Canis lupus familiaris: one gene and its partners. The protein of the gene in region 4 interacts with the protein of the main gene of each other region in a pairwise test. Links are inferred from orthologs where the notes say so. Each region holds a gene or a part of one and is shown on either strand. Other genes may lie near its edges.

The links.
Region 1: the proteins of RNF5 (region 4) and SLC38A7 interact in binary tests that used the Homo sapiens proteins (3 or more experiments, as listed by UniProt). The two-hybrid records come from large-scale screens. The link is inferred for Canis lupus familiaris from reciprocal best matches to the Homo sapiens genes RNF5 and SLC38A7.
Region 2: the proteins of RNF5 (region 4) and INSIG2 interact in binary tests that used the Homo sapiens proteins (3 or more experiments, as listed by UniProt). The two-hybrid records come from large-scale screens. The link is inferred for Canis lupus familiaris from reciprocal best matches to the Homo sapiens genes RNF5 and INSIG2.
Region 3: the proteins of RNF5 (region 4) and UBE2W interact in binary tests that used the Homo sapiens proteins (3 or more experiments, as listed by UniProt). The link is inferred for Canis lupus familiaris from reciprocal best matches to the Homo sapiens genes RNF5 and UBE2W.

The regions. Positions count from the first base shown.
Region 1 is NC_049223.1:57,279,347-57,282,334, reverse strand, and holds the end of SLC38A7 (putative sodium-coupled neutral amino acid transporter 7), read right to left. Parts: intron 2,526-2,988; coding exon 2,423-2,525; 3' UTR 517-2,422; downstream 1-516. UniProt on the Homo sapiens protein: Symporter that selectively cotransports sodium ions and amino acids, such as L-glutamine and L-asparagine from the lysosome into the cytoplasm and may participates in mTORC1 activation. The transport activity requires an acidic lysosomal lumen.
Region 2 is NC_049240.1:33,228,536-33,232,102, forward strand, and holds part of INSIG2 (insulin-induced gene 2 protein), read right to left. Parts: intron 614-3,567; coding exon 489-613; intron 1-488. UniProt on the Homo sapiens protein: Oxysterol-binding protein that mediates feedback control of cholesterol synthesis by controlling both endoplasmic reticulum to Golgi transport of SCAP and degradation of HMGCR.
Region 3 is NC_049250.1:22,835,057-22,838,623, forward strand, and holds part of UBE2W (ubiquitin-conjugating enzyme E2 W), read right to left. Parts: intron 2,372-3,567; coding exon 2,216-2,371; intron 1-2,215. UniProt on the Homo sapiens protein: Accepts ubiquitin from the E1 complex and catalyzes its covalent attachment to other proteins.
Region 4 is NC_049233.1:1,702,967-1,707,303, reverse strand, and holds RNF5 (E3 ubiquitin-protein ligase RNF5), read right to left. Parts: upstream 2,850-4,337; 5' UTR 2,685-2,849; coding exon 2,545-2,684; intron 1,664-2,544; coding exon 1,645-1,663; intron 1,550-1,644; coding exon 1,437-1,549; intron 1,321-1,436; coding exon 1,266-1,320; intron 1,189-1,265; coding exon 1,071-1,188; intron 962-1,070; coding exon 864-961; 3' UTR 395-863; downstream 1-394. UniProt on the Homo sapiens protein: Membrane-bound E3 ubiquitin-protein ligase that mediates ubiquitination of target proteins. May function together with E2 ubiquitin-conjugating enzymes UBE2D1/UBCH5A and UBE2D2/UBC4.

The DNA of each region.
Region 1 (2,988 bases), on a different chromosome or scaffold from region 4:
CCACTTGCTTAGTATCAGTCTTACACAGCAGTTTGAGAATGGAGCTGCATACAGCTGAGTATCTTGCAGCCCTGGAAAGTGCCTGGCTTCACAACCAGGACAACCAGGGCCTGCTTAACACATGCCTCTGAAGGGATGAGGGTGGTTGTTCAGGCAGGAGTCTGAAGCTCATCGCAGAATGTGAAGTCAGTGAGCCCTGCAGCATGGAGGCCAGTCTGAAGGCCTATGGTGTGGGGAAGACAGGAGGACTTGAAACAAGGCAGTGGCTGTGGGAGACCAGGGCAAACTGTCAGGTTGGCAGGTAAGGGCTGGTAGGATGTGCAAGAAAGAGGAGGCATCTAGAACCACTTGTATGCTCCCATCTTGGTGAAGGGAACATAGCAATACTCATGCCTGAGACAGGGGTCAGAGTCGATAAGGCCAAAAGTCCCCACCCCAACCCCTACCCCCGCAGCCTATTTTCCTGCTGTCAGTGGCTTGGATTCTGTCCCCAGCACCAGACATAGGCCACACAGCTCAGCAGCACAGCCTCTTTTTATTAACCACCCTCTCTGGTATGAATGCGTACAAGTAGAAAAGAAACAGTAAAATACCCTGGAGGGGAGGGCAGAGCAGGGGGCTCCCGAGGTTAGGCCAAGTGGCCAGATTCCACTCCTTTTCCTGACTGGTCTGTTTTGTGTGATGACTCCCCTCACATCCTCCATCCCTCGGCTGAAATCCAACATTAGGAAGCTGTTCAGCCCTGCTGACTGGACCATCCTAAGCTTGGAAGGGATGGGCACTGGAAGGGCCTGATGCTGAGTACAGGCTAAGAGAACACAGCAGCACTGGTCTGGCCCCAGGGGCTGTGGGTGGATCTGAGGAAAGGCAGGTCATCCAGTCTGGGAACTGAGCAAAAGTCTATCTGGCCACCAGCCAGCCAGCCAGCCTCTGCTTCTGCGATCTCACAGCCCTGAGTGGTGGGTGCTGGGTGGGGGTCCTGCTCACCCCTGGAACAGAGGTTTTGAGCAGAAGGGGCCAAGGATATGTTGGGAGTTCCAGGTGGAGGAAGCCTGATTCAATGCCTGGGATTGGTCAAAGTGAGCAGCCAAAAAGGGAAAAGTGGGACTGCAGACCTAGAAAGAAATGTCCCTCTTCTCCCCACCTGGGGCACAATCCATGTGTGACCTCAGTGTGATTGACAGACCGCTGAGGCCAAGCCTGGTGGACCTGTGATGCTGAGAAAGCTGGCAAGAGAAGGTCTTGCATACCCCCTACCCTCAGTCTTATGTGAGCAGGAAAGCCTGCACCAGAAAAATGGAGTAGGGAGTGAAGAAACGACAGAGGGAGGGAACAGACAAGATCTGGACTGGAAGGGAAACTTCCAGACTGTCATGACTACACGAAAATGTTGCCCAGTCAGTGACAACTCAGCTGTTCTTCTCTGTGGGCTATCCTGCTAGGGTTGACAAGGAGAGGTGAGCAGAAGGCCAGCAGAAGAGAAGCAGTCAAAAAAAAAAGAAAAAAAAAAAAAAAAAAAAGAAGAGAAGCAGTCACTGAAAGAGAAGTTATCAGAGAGGCTCACCTTGACACTGACCAGCCCAGCCTACATGGGTTTGAAAGGTTCTCAGACTTATCACCCTCCCTGTGTCTCTGAAGCACGGGGCACATCTGGAATCTGAGAGAGCAAAGTAGACTTCCTGCCAAGGGAAAAGCTAACTGAGGAGTACTCACAGCACCGTGGTGGCACGGTATGGCCCCTGGCCTCTGCTTCAGAGCCGGGCTGGCACCGTTTGTAAACATTAGACTTGATGATGTCTGGGGATAGAAGACGACAAGAATGCCTGGACTCTCAGGTTTGGGGAAAGAGGCCCCAGGCTGAGGTGGACGAGGCATGACTCTATCTACCTCTGTGCATCTGTATGACTTTTGTGCTACCTTTGGAAGCTGCCATCCCAGAGAAGCCACTGTTGGCCAAGCGGCTGACAAACTGGAGCAGGCACTGAGTCTCAGAGTAATACGCATGGTTCCTGCTCAGGACAGGCTGCTCTGAGGAGGATGGCGGTGGCCCTTTGCCCACACTCTTTCTCCAAAGGAAAGTCAAGCCAGGTTCTCTTTTCTGAGATGTTCTGACCCTCTTCACCCATGTTTTTCAGGCATGGAGAAGCTGAGAGCTGGCAGACAGGGAAGGTTCTTCTGTGATACGAGACCTCCTCCCTGCATCCTCACACTGCTGGGACCAGAGAGCAGGAGGGGAGCTGGGTTTGAGCTGTCCAGAGGTAAGAGGCCTGATTTCACTCCAAAACTGTCCCTGGAAAAGGATGTCCAGATGTCATCCCATCAGGAAAGGGGAATGATGCTGGACTCAGAGTGGTCCCACAGCTCTGAGAGATGGGCTCCTGGGTTCAGTGGCAAAGGCCATGTGTTGCCTGGGAGGCAGCTGTTACGCCAAGAGATCCACAAAGATGGCGTTGGTTGTGGTCTGGCCGAAGATGAAGGCTCCCAGGGTCACCAAGAGGATACCATAACTGACCAGCGCCCACCAGCTGTAGGGCAGAGGGAGAGAGGGACCTAGTCAGTCAACCTACCCTTGACTTTGCAGACTTCTATATATATCAATATATATCAATATATACATATATATATCAGTTAATTACTGTAATTACTTATCCCACTTCTTTACAATTAATTATTGTAATTATACCACTTCTCCTGTGGGTAGAGCACTTCCTACTTCTTTTTTTTTAAGCACTTCCTACTTCTAAGTGACTTTTCATATAAAGGTATGTGAGGCCAGGTGTGTAATCCCTAGACCATGGGCCAGAAGACCAAGACCTAATGGGATTTATTGACTGGTCATAGTAAGCCAAGGACAGAACCAGGATTAGAACACATGTCTTCTGATGGAAATAGGTTCAGGACAAAGCAGTTCACATGGAGTATGATCCACTTCATTTACAAAAGAAAGCAGACATCTGTAAATCTATGTATCAAAAACAGCAACAGGGA
Region 2 (3,567 bases), on a different chromosome or scaffold from region 4:
AAGAAAATTTATGTGCTTTGCTGGCATTGATTAAAACCAATAGATGAGTCTTTTTTGGAAAAAATCATAAGTTCCTTAAATTAACAACAAACCAAAAACAGCTGGCACCTGAAGCCACATGTCCTCATTGGCAAGTCTTAAACAAAAAGAGAGAGGAAAGAAATCCTTTGAAAATGTACTTGTTTCAATCTTAGAGTTACCAAAACTATACAGAATTAAGCAACCTAATTTAAGAAAAACACGTAAAATGTTTAAATGTGCAAAGTTTCTCAGTGATACTGAAACATGGGGATTTAAATGGAAGGTTATACCCCATCCAGTAACAACACAGCTGCTACTGTGATGTTTCAACAATACGCCACACATTCTTTTTACGACTAAGGGGACATATCACAATTTGACAATAGTGAAGTTGCAAGGAACTGTTTAACCTTTGGCTTGTTGGAGCTGCTTTGTGATTATGCATTTCATTACAGTGGAAAGGATACAGCGCTGGCATGATTTATACCAACAAAGACGGCTACGCACCGCATCACACTGGACCACTCTCTTTTAAATTTATGTGGCTCTCCTAGATGCCTGTCAATGCAAGGGTATAATAACCCAATCACAGCTGTGGAAAGAAAAAGAAAAAAAATTAAGTCATCTCCAATGCCAAAATGGCAAAAACCTAAGTGAAAAGAGTTACTACGACCCCCATAAGCATTTGAAAGATTGTTTTACAAGCTCTCCAAGTTATATAACATCAGTCACCAATATTTTTAAACTTACCTCCCAAAAGAAAGAAAAATAAATAACACCACTGAAGAAAGCACCATAAATGATTACAAGAGAATTCCAAATTATAATTGGCAGAGCACGATTTCAGTGTATGATTCACAATTTAGCAGTTTGGACTAGATGGTTCATGCTACTTCTCCACTACTACCATCTCTGAGATTTGAAAACATCAAACCAGCTGGCAGTTAAGCAATGTTCTCTCTGAACTACATAACCATGAAGCATGCTATAAAATGCCACCAACTGTCTAAAGAAAAGCGAGAAGCTAGAAGCATAAATGCGTACAATAAGGTCATCACACACACAGTATTTGTTCGGATGTCTATAGCCGTCCTGTTGTACAGATTATCCTAGTGCCTCCAGCTTGTCTTCAGCACCCAGTGCTGTGTCCTGACATTCCCCTTTACCCTGACCCTCTAAAGAGACTAGGTCATACTGTCAAAACGGGAAACTTGCAACAGAAATCTACATGTAAGCCTCATTCTGCACATAGAGAAACTTAGGAAACAATCTATGAGAACAATGATTTTCAGTTAAAATTTAAATTCAGTCTTAAAAATAAGGAGAAATCATTTTAGTATATTTCTTAGTTTTGGAAAGAATATCCTGAATGTCAACCATATAATTATGAATAACTGTATGCAAAATGTCTATGATTGAGACTCTAAATAGTTGCACCGAATTTTTAATTAAAATACTTGCCAAGCTTCAACATTTTATTCATTTAATGGGAGAAGATTTTAAATGCTAAGTTAGTCATTTAAAAAAGACCTTAATGAACCAAAACATTCTTCAACAAGTTTTAAGGAAAATGCACTTCTACAGACTAAACTTAACAGGAAATAACTCGATAGCTTTGACTTGTTAATCTTCCTAAAAACAGAATGGTTTATGTTGCCATTAAGTAATAAAGACACAATTGTCACATCAGTTGAAAAGCAATGTTTAAAATGTCCAATGCTACCAAAATCTGAGTGCCTAAGGATCAGGAACCCCTTGTCTGCCCTGGTATTGACTAGCTATTTCTTACAAATGAAGCATTCAATCTTTAAGGAAAAATGGAAATAAATTAATATAAAAAATCACAGGCTAGCAGACCAATGGAACATTATTAAAAAGAGGCCGCACAGCCACCCTTTCATCTGGGGGTGAGCAGCTGCAATGATGTACATGTGTTCTAATCCACAAGACTGAAAGTGCTCTTCTGAGTTGGGCTTTTGCTGTGTGTATATAGATGGCTCACAGACCATCAAGAGATTAACAACAAATTTCAGCAATGCGGACCTCCAACAACTATCAGCAAATTTAAAACTTTCATATCATATTCCTGTTTAAAAGGCTTGGTTCTAAAATCCTGGGAGATTAACTGACAGCGTTTCCCAATTTCTACAAAATTAAAATGGCAACAAGCATGCCTAACAGTTGAAATACATCTAAATGAATATTACTTTTTTTTTTCTCCAGGGGTCATGAAACTAACAGCTCATGTCATTCTTCACTCTCACTCTCACTCTCTCCTCCCTGTGCCTGTTGCTGAGTAAAATCAACTAAGATCAGGCATTCCAAGTCAATTTTCCTCAGCAGCTGATGCCACAGGTAAAGAATTATCACATAGAGAATACTGACGTGTGTGCAAAGATATAAATAAGTAAAATTGACTAGATTTGTATGCATGTGATGTCAGACTCACAAGTGAGAGACAACTGAGGAGAGAAAGCAAAAACACAAAAAGGAATTTAAACTGCCACGCTGCCAACCTTGGGATTTGCCAATAAAAATCAAATCCATTGAGTATGCATGGTTCTCAGTTGCTCACTGAGGAGGAGAATTCGAGGAAGCTTGTCACTTCCCATTAAATGTCTTCTTCCTTCCCTTTAAATAAAGGCACGGCAGAGTCTGATAGCAATAACTACAGCACAGTGAGGCTCCACCATTTGAGAGCTCAGCAGAACTATGTCCGGTCTGGGGCTTCTTTTTCCTTTCTCCACTTTCTTATTTTAACAAGAGAGATTGTTAAAATCATGCCCGTGTAATGTTACTTGCAAACATCATTCTGCTTAATAGGGTTCTCTGATACAAAGTAACATTTCTTGGGATAGATTTATGTTACTTCCCAGTGACCAGTTACTGTGTTACCAAGCCAAAACCAGAAGTAGTTTGTAAAACATCAATATTAAGTCATCACTTCTTCATGGGAGTGTGTTTAATTCCGTGATGGACTAAGAAGAACAGTTAAATCAAATGTTTTGCAAGGAAGAGGGGCTGAAGAAAACAAAGCCATTGAATGTGATAGACTTTCACGGAAAACTACTCCAGCATATGCAATGTTTCACTCAATAGATACTTAAGCTCCCATAACCTGTCCAGTTCTTGATATTTGCTGAGGATTTAAAAAGAAAAAAGAGTAAGACATGATTCCAGCCTCAGAGTGAGCACAGAAACAATTCAATACAGTAACACGTTAGGGGAGGCACTGACAGGGCCTAGTGGGGGCCCAGTCTTCTCCTGACATGTGCTGAGGGGAGGCAGGGTGCTGGAGTGTCAGGAAAGCTTCACAGAAGAGGTGGCCCCTAAGGCAGGAGCTGAGTTCAGCAGGTCAGTGGTGCGGAAGGGGTTTTCTAATCCAAGGCAAGCATCTGGTAAAAAGCATGTACAATGTAAAATACCTACTATCACCTGGAAATTGTAAGCTTTAGGCAAAAAGGGAGCTTCCAAAGACTCTGAAGAAGAAAAAAGTTGGCAAGGGTCATATCATAGAGACTTTACCCTACAGACCCCAGGGAATCA
Region 3 (3,567 bases), on a different chromosome or scaffold from region 4:
ATTGATACAAAGAATTTGCCTTCACTTTAGGGAATCTTTCTTAACTACGAAAAATAAAATTGGAATGAAAGAATTATGACTAAATCAAAGTTCCCAAACTCTTACAATAAAAACTAAAATATGTATTCAAGTCAAATTTTAAAATGAAAGTCATAGAACCACACTAACCACAGAATAAAATTCACCTGCTTTAAAAGAGCTTTTGGTGAGTAGTTACAAGACTTTTAAAAGCTTATTTAAGGAGCTAGATCCCCTCAGTGCCAAAGCAAGTTTGCTCTTCATCTTTGTAACCTAGTACTTGGCTCAGTAAAAACAGCACCTAATAGGTACCTAATAAACGTTTACTAAATTTTTATTGTATTTCAGAGAACTAATTAATGCTGCCAGAATTACTTCCATATTATTATCTTGGTTAAGTATAATTTAGATTATATAATATAGCTTGCCAATATTTGAAATGGAATAATTAAGCATATACTATGCAAGAAAACTAGTAGACAACTGAAATATGAAGGAAATAGGATTAGAAAAGGATAAAGAAGATGAAGAATTTATTTTCTAGTTTTTATTTTTTTTTATTTTCTAGTTTTTAATAGTAAATTATTACATTTATACTATTGTAAATCATTACATTTATTTAATTATTATATATCATTATATTAAATATTAAAAAAAAGTGGTAATCATTACAAGGCACATGCAAGAGCTATGTACACACATCACCGGTGTTCATCTCAACTTTCCTTTTTAAAATCCTAGACTTACTGCTTCACCTTCCTAAAGACATTAAACATTAACAAGGACACAGAAGTCTTTGTAACTACTCTACACCTAAACATTTTAAACTTATGTGTGCGCTGGGAGAGGAAGTGTGGGGGAGGAGAAAATATGGAAGCAATAAACGAATAAGACTTGTTTCCAAAGCCCTTGGGGTTAACAAAAGCTCAAGTGTAGCCTTAAAATGCAACCTAGAAAAAAAGCCCACAGGCAAAGAGGAAACTTAAAAAGTCATACTACAATTAGATAATGTGCACCCTAATTCATCTAAGATGTACATTTTTTCTTTACATTTTAATATTCCTGAATGGGGATACATGTGTTTTATACTAATGGTGTCATAGTTTAACTGCTGGAAGTTTTTTCTTTCTTATATGGTATATAAAATTCCATATTAAGGGCTCTTAATGCTATAATTTAAAAAGAAGATACAATTTAAACCATTATTTCCCATGCTTCTTTGAACGAAAAAAGCTGTTGTGTTTTTTTTTTTTTTTTTAAACCTAACACCAAGAAACTTCTTATGGAACTAACATTTCAAAAAACTTACGTTGCCAAGCTAAGCGTGTTTCAGAGTCTAGATAATCTAGCATTTAAAAATGAGCTACTTAAAGTTCTCTAAATATGAACTTAGTAAAAATGATAGTTGAATTTGGAGAACACAAGGAAAAAACACTGCTGTAATAACCCCACAGATCCCTAATCTGCAAGGTAAAGCTGTTTCTCCTTTAAACCCAATACAAAAGGAAACCCTCATGAAGAAAAGAGGCTTTAAAATATATAAACACATGAACACTGTGCTACACTGACCCTGAGGCAGAAATAACAAGAGGGCCAGAAATGCACACGGAATTTAGATACTTTAAAGGGGTATCCTATATTTAACTTATGTGATTTTTCTTTCTGGTATTTTCACCTTTCCAACAGACATAGAATCTGTGAATAAATAAAGGAGAATTAGAGAAAAAGTCCTGAAAATTCTACCGGTAATCTAACCTTCCTCCTTCAACCTAATCACTAGATGATCAGTATGGATAGGAAAGCTCTAGTTGCTGGGAAACCCCCTAAAAGTGGCTGACAGTGTGGGGGCCACCAGAGGGGAGAAAGCAGCTATGAAACATGCTCTTGGGGCTTTCCGTGGTGAAATCTAGAAGTGAGAATTTCTTGTACACTTCTGCCCTGTGCATGCTTACAGAAATAAAATTCATATTACTTAAGAACATCTGCAGAAATTTTGTTTAAGAAATATAAAACAATGTCTTACTTCCATGTGGAGTGAAAGAGTATCAAAATACCTATTTCTAATCTATTATTAAACATATTATCTATAACTTCATAATAAAAGGCATTAAGTCCTTCCTTCACATAGTATTAAAATAGTTTCGCTACCTAAACTAAAAGAATAGATATTACCTGGAATAATTCTGAGAAGTCCTACCTTTTCTTTGCAGCTGGAAAGCATGCTAATAATGCTAAGACAAACTGACTGGACTGAGAGCGCTGGGGACCAGTCTTCTGTTAGAATGGATAAACAGATATGACCATTGCTATAAACATGAGGATGAACGGGAATATTTTCACCAGTAAACATGACCTAAGAAAGAATAAAATTCCATTAACACTCAAATATTCTGTATTACCAAGACATAACATATTCTCCACAGAACTTATTTTAAAAACCAGTTAAAAACAAAATAAGTGCCAGAAACAAGGATAAACAACTGCCTGCTGTTTATTCTCATCAATTCACAAAGTACTGGTTTCATTGTATGAATGAGCACGTAGGTAGGGGATGGAACATACAGAAAAAAAACTCAGGTTACCCGTTTTTTATTTCAGCTATTTTTCACAAATTCCCTTTAAAAATTTATAAATTACCAGGCATATTTAGCCTAATAAAGACAACTATATTTGTAAGAATGCTTTTTCAAATTGTACTCATTGCTCTCTGCATATAGAAACACAAAGGTATTTAATTTTGAGACAATATGAATTGCATATGACAGGAACATCACTTCTACCTGTAACAATGCTATTACGTGAGGTGCTTTGTGCAAAAGGAAATAACTGTTATATATATCTCACCTTCTCTGAACTCACTCATCCATTATGATGGGTAAAAATTACTACTTATTGATCAGCAAATAACTATGTGCCTACACACACAAAAAACAAAGGTTGAATGAGTCAAGTTTTTCTCTGCCTTTTCTTCTACTTAATTCTTCTTAACAGGTTTTCCTTTCTCCATCTTGCCACAGCACCATTTTGAAAGATAATAAATCTATTATTCCTTCCTTTACCCTCATGATTAAGTATCCCAATAGCAGTGTTTCGTAAACATATCTACCTTCAGCATTTGAATGAGGTAGAAGAGTGAATTTATACATCCTGATTCAGAATCTGTAACCACAGCCCAAAGTAGGACAAAGAAACAGAAGTCTAATATTTAAGAATGTTTATGTTACTTCATAAGTTACTTAATTTGATATAAAAATTAGTCCACCAATGTTTACATGATTTTTATAATGCAGTAAGACCTAACATTTTTATTGTTTAGTAGTAATTATTAATTCCTGACCTTAAAAATAAAATCACCTGAAGATCTGGCTAAAAATGTAAGTGCAACAGCTCCACTTTCACAGATACTGATTTAGTAGGTATGATGGGTTTTTATAAAGCTCACCAAATATAAACCAGTAGTTCCCAAACAACACTTACAGTATCTCTCTTAGCCCTAACAAACTGTCTCACATTTGAATACAGCAAAATCTTAGTAAGAAGAAACCCCAC
Region 4 (4,337 bases):
CACACCTGTGAGAGATGACTGTGAGAGACACCTGTGTGTAAGAGATGACTGTGTGTGAGACCTGTGTGTGAGAGACACCTGTGTTTGAGAAAGAGATGCCTGTGTGTGACACCTGTGTGAGACACGTGTATGAGATGACTGTGTGTGAGACACGTGTGTGTGTGAGAGACGCCTGTGTGTGTGTGTGTGAGAAAGATGCCTCTGTGTGTGTTTGTGTGTGTGTGTTTGTGAGAGAGAGAGAGAGAGAGAGACGCCCTCACCCTCTGAATCCCTCAGAGCCTTGAAGAAAGCCTTCACACTTCCCCACACCGTGCAAATATTTACTCAAGTTGGGGAGATGCTCCTGTCCTGGAAGGAAGGGGGTAAGGACAAAGGTGGGCAGAGCTCCCATCAGTACATCTCACCTTGTTTATTGAATTTATAATAAAGGAGGTAGTGAAGGGAAGGAAGGACTTAAGAATCAGAACCCATATTAGACACTGGGGAGAGAAAAATTAAGTCAACAGGGGTAAAGTAGGGGAGAGTCAGTGGGAGCCTTGCCCATCTTTCAACATCAAATCAACAAATGTGGGGGAAAGCAAAAGATCAGGAGAGGGAAGAAACAGACATCCTCTTCCGTCTGTCCTCCTGTCCCAGAGCTGGGAGTTAGGATGCTACGCAGCGAGTTCAGGGCAGAAGTTTCTCCCATCCTCTGCACAGATGTCACACCTCCTCCCCACACCCTCCTACAAAGTGGCCAGGGTTGGCCTTAGCCAGTAGAAACGGAGGGGTTGGGAGGGAGGGGCCAGGAGTAAGGAAGGGTCAGCAAGGACCCCCAATACTGATTCTCCTCTGGCTGGAGGTGGGCAGGAAGGAGACAAAGCTCAAATACTGAGCAGCCAGAAAAAGAAGAAGATGGCGAGAAACAGGAAGAGGGAGTCCTGCCAGCTGGAGGCCGGGTGACCCTGTCCCAGATCCACACCTGTAGGAGAAAGGAAAGCTGTGGGAGAAGCATCCACTCCTAGGTTGGGAAAAGGCCTGAGGGGACTCAGAGGGCTCCCTGCTTGGAGCTGAGGGAAGGCTCTTCTTACCTGTACCCCGACGGAATGGCTCATGGGTGTTGAAGACGGTGGTGAAAAAGCCAAAGGGAAAAGCACCAACACCAAATGAGAAGTGAAAGCCCCCGGTATCACCAAATGACTGGAATCCCTAGGGAGGTGGAGAAAGTCAGAGGAGAACTGGGCAGGTCTTTGGCAAGGAAGGAACACAAATCAGACAAGACTCACCCCTCTGCTCTCTGAAGCTGGTCGCTGGCCCTGGGGGCGGGGTGGAGTTTTCAATCTGAGGAATGAGAGACTGGCTAGGGCTAGCAGCAAGGAATGTCCTCTCCCCCTCCACGCCCCACTCCCAGGCCAGAAGCAGTCCATCTTCCCTCAGCACCACCCCCTCTCTCTCACCTGGGATCCTGGGGCTTCTGGCTCCCTCGCCCATAAAGAGGGACAACCTTTTCTCTGCTGATCCCAGCTTTACACACTGGGCACTCTTGCCGCTCTGGCCGGGTCTCCAACCACTGAGGGAGAAAATGAAGTGGTTTCCAGTTCACAGTAGGGTTTTTCAACTCCTCAGACCTCCCCATTTCCCTCTTCATCTCCTCTGAGTACGCACCTGATGAAGACAGGGCCAACTAGATGGGGGGAAAAAAAGAAGGTCAAACTAGCTACAGTAAAGACAGACACGAACCTGACCTCAGAGTCCGATCGCACCCCTCTTCCCAGGTATTACCTGCTGTTTCTTTTCATGTTTTTGACAACCTATTCCATGCCAGCCAATTTGGCCTTCCCACCTCTCTGATCTTACAACGTCTAAAGTAATATTCATCCTCCGAGGTTCAACGCTCTTCTCTCCTTGAACACACATGTCCCCTCCCTTTTCTGCCTCTGAACTTAGTGTCCAGGTCTCTTCAACCAGAGCTTTCTAGATCTCCTGTTTCAGCCCCAACCCCAGCCCTGCCCGCATCACTCCTCAACCAAACCCCCTTTACTAGCACCTGCCCCCACTACTCCTTTTCCTCTCTTCTAGGCTCCATCAAGTCCCTATTTCCACCATCCTTTCATTTCTCAGTGCCCTGGTCCTCAGGTCTGTCATACCACTCCCTACCAAGATCTCATCTGCATGCGATCCTACATTCCCTCGGTCTCCCGTACCCGACTAAGGCGTGCCTCCTCTAACCTTGGAGTCTAATCTATCTCCACCTGTACAACTAAGACCGTCACTTTCCGGGGTAAGGCGGCTGGGGTCTCACCTGGACAGATGTAGTTCCCCCACCACCACCCCGCCCTGCTGCCTCTTAACCACAGCACACCCCTCAGCGCCCAGTTCCTAGGGCTCTCCGCCACACGGCTCTCCTCCGTGGAGATGTGACCCTCTCACCCACACATTCCCAGAGACCTCGGGCCTCGCCCACGGGGATGTGCCCGCCGACTATCCGTATGCGTGCCATCCCGCCCCCAGCCTCCCCAGTAAGGGGCGAGCCCCATTTCTCTTCAGCCCCGGCCGGACCCTCACCAGTACAGGTGGCCACACACGCTGACCACAGCCTCCCGAGCAGTCTCCAAGCATATATTACATTCGAAGGTCGCGCCCGCCCCGCCCCGCTCGCGGTTTGGCCCTTCGGGGCCCCCGTCCTCCTCCTCCGCGGCTGCCATGGCCGGTGTTTCGCCTTCACGTACCCCTCGGTCTCCCCAAACACACACACAGACACACACACGCCCCAACAGCGAGAAACCGCCTCCAGCCCACGACCGTTGGGCGGGCTTCGAGGTTGTCTAAACACTACTGGTCTGGGTGGCTGACAATCACACAGTTTAAAAGCCAGGATTGGCCCAAAGGGTAGGGAGAGGTCTGCGCAGGCCTGCCCTTGCCAGCGACGATTGGCGGGCGCGTCTCCGTCAGGACGCCATGCGACAGAATTGGTGTCCGTTGGACCTGGTCGGGGAGCTTGATTCGTCTGAGTAGCTGCCAGTCAGGGCCAAGGGCCAGAAGCAATTGGTCCGGGACCACACAGGCCCCGCCTCCTCCGAGCCCTTTCTTTGCTTCACTTCCCCTTTCCGAGAACGTCCGGATTCCTATTGGACTTTGGAGCGTAGAGCTCCGAAGCTCTGGATTGGCTGGAACTCGACGGAAGATGGTGGTTCGGCAAAGTGCGCGCGCGCAGCAGGCGGCGGGAAGGGGCGGGCCAGGCCGAGAGTGCTCGGCTTTCTCTGGCCCCACCCCCTCGCCGCGCTCTTGTCGCCGTGGTGACTGCTCTACGATTGGCGGGCTTTGGGGTTCAAAGGCATCAGCGCCGCCTCATCCGGGCCCTCCGACTGCGGTCTCTCCGGGCTGATTGGCTAGTTTCTTGCAGCCCTGATTGGCCGAGATCGGAAAAGACGGCCGAGAGCTCGGCGAGGTAGCAAATGCTATGGTCGCAGGGCTCAAAATGGCTCCGGCCTCCTTCGGTGACGTAGAGGGCAGAACTGGGGCTCGCCCCTCCCTTTCAGTGAAGAAGGGAGCAGAACTGGCATCAGCTCGACGTGTGGGTGGTGCGAGCATCGACCTGCGGCGCTGGTGTTAACCCATCTCCCTCGGCTGCGGGACGCAGCCCGCTCCTCCTTAGGTGACTTGCAGAACAGATCTCAAGGCCCACACCTTTCTAACGTTGACACAGGATGACAGAGTTGACCCCGGCCCCGTTTTAAACCTGAAAAGCGAACTAGCTCCACCCCTTCGTGAGTAGGTGCCGAGGGGGCAAGGCCCGCCCTCCTGAGCGACCCGCGGCGGAATGGGGTTAGGCCCGCCCCTTCCGTCCTGTAGTGTGTCCCGCAGAAGTGGGGTCTTCCTCCTGGGTAGGACCCCCGGGACTTGGGCAGGCCCGAGCTTGGGCCTTCTCTACAGTCAGTGACCTCACTGTGGCCCAAGGAGCAGAACTAGGTAACAGTCCTCCCATACCAGTGTTCCTTACATCCTCGACCTCAGGGCGTGTAAATTCTAGCAGGGCGAATGTGTGTCTGGCAGCGGGGACAGACTCGGGCCGAGGGCAGGTCAGCACCCAGATAAAGGTCTCACGTGACCAGGGAGGCCAGGTGAGAGGAGGGCGGGGGAAGTGAAGGTACAGGATGCCGGGAAAGGCTTAGGAGAAAAGTTCTAGGGGAAGGGGTGTAGACCAAGGAGAGGAGCAACGCAATGGTCCTGGTTTAAGGGACAGTGGAAAGACGAGCGAGAGGAGGTCAGAGGCTGGACAGGGAACAGATACATGCCTACAAAATTCAGGAGGCATGCTCGTCCCAGAGTAATCTAGCGTTCTTTCTCTCTCTCTCTCT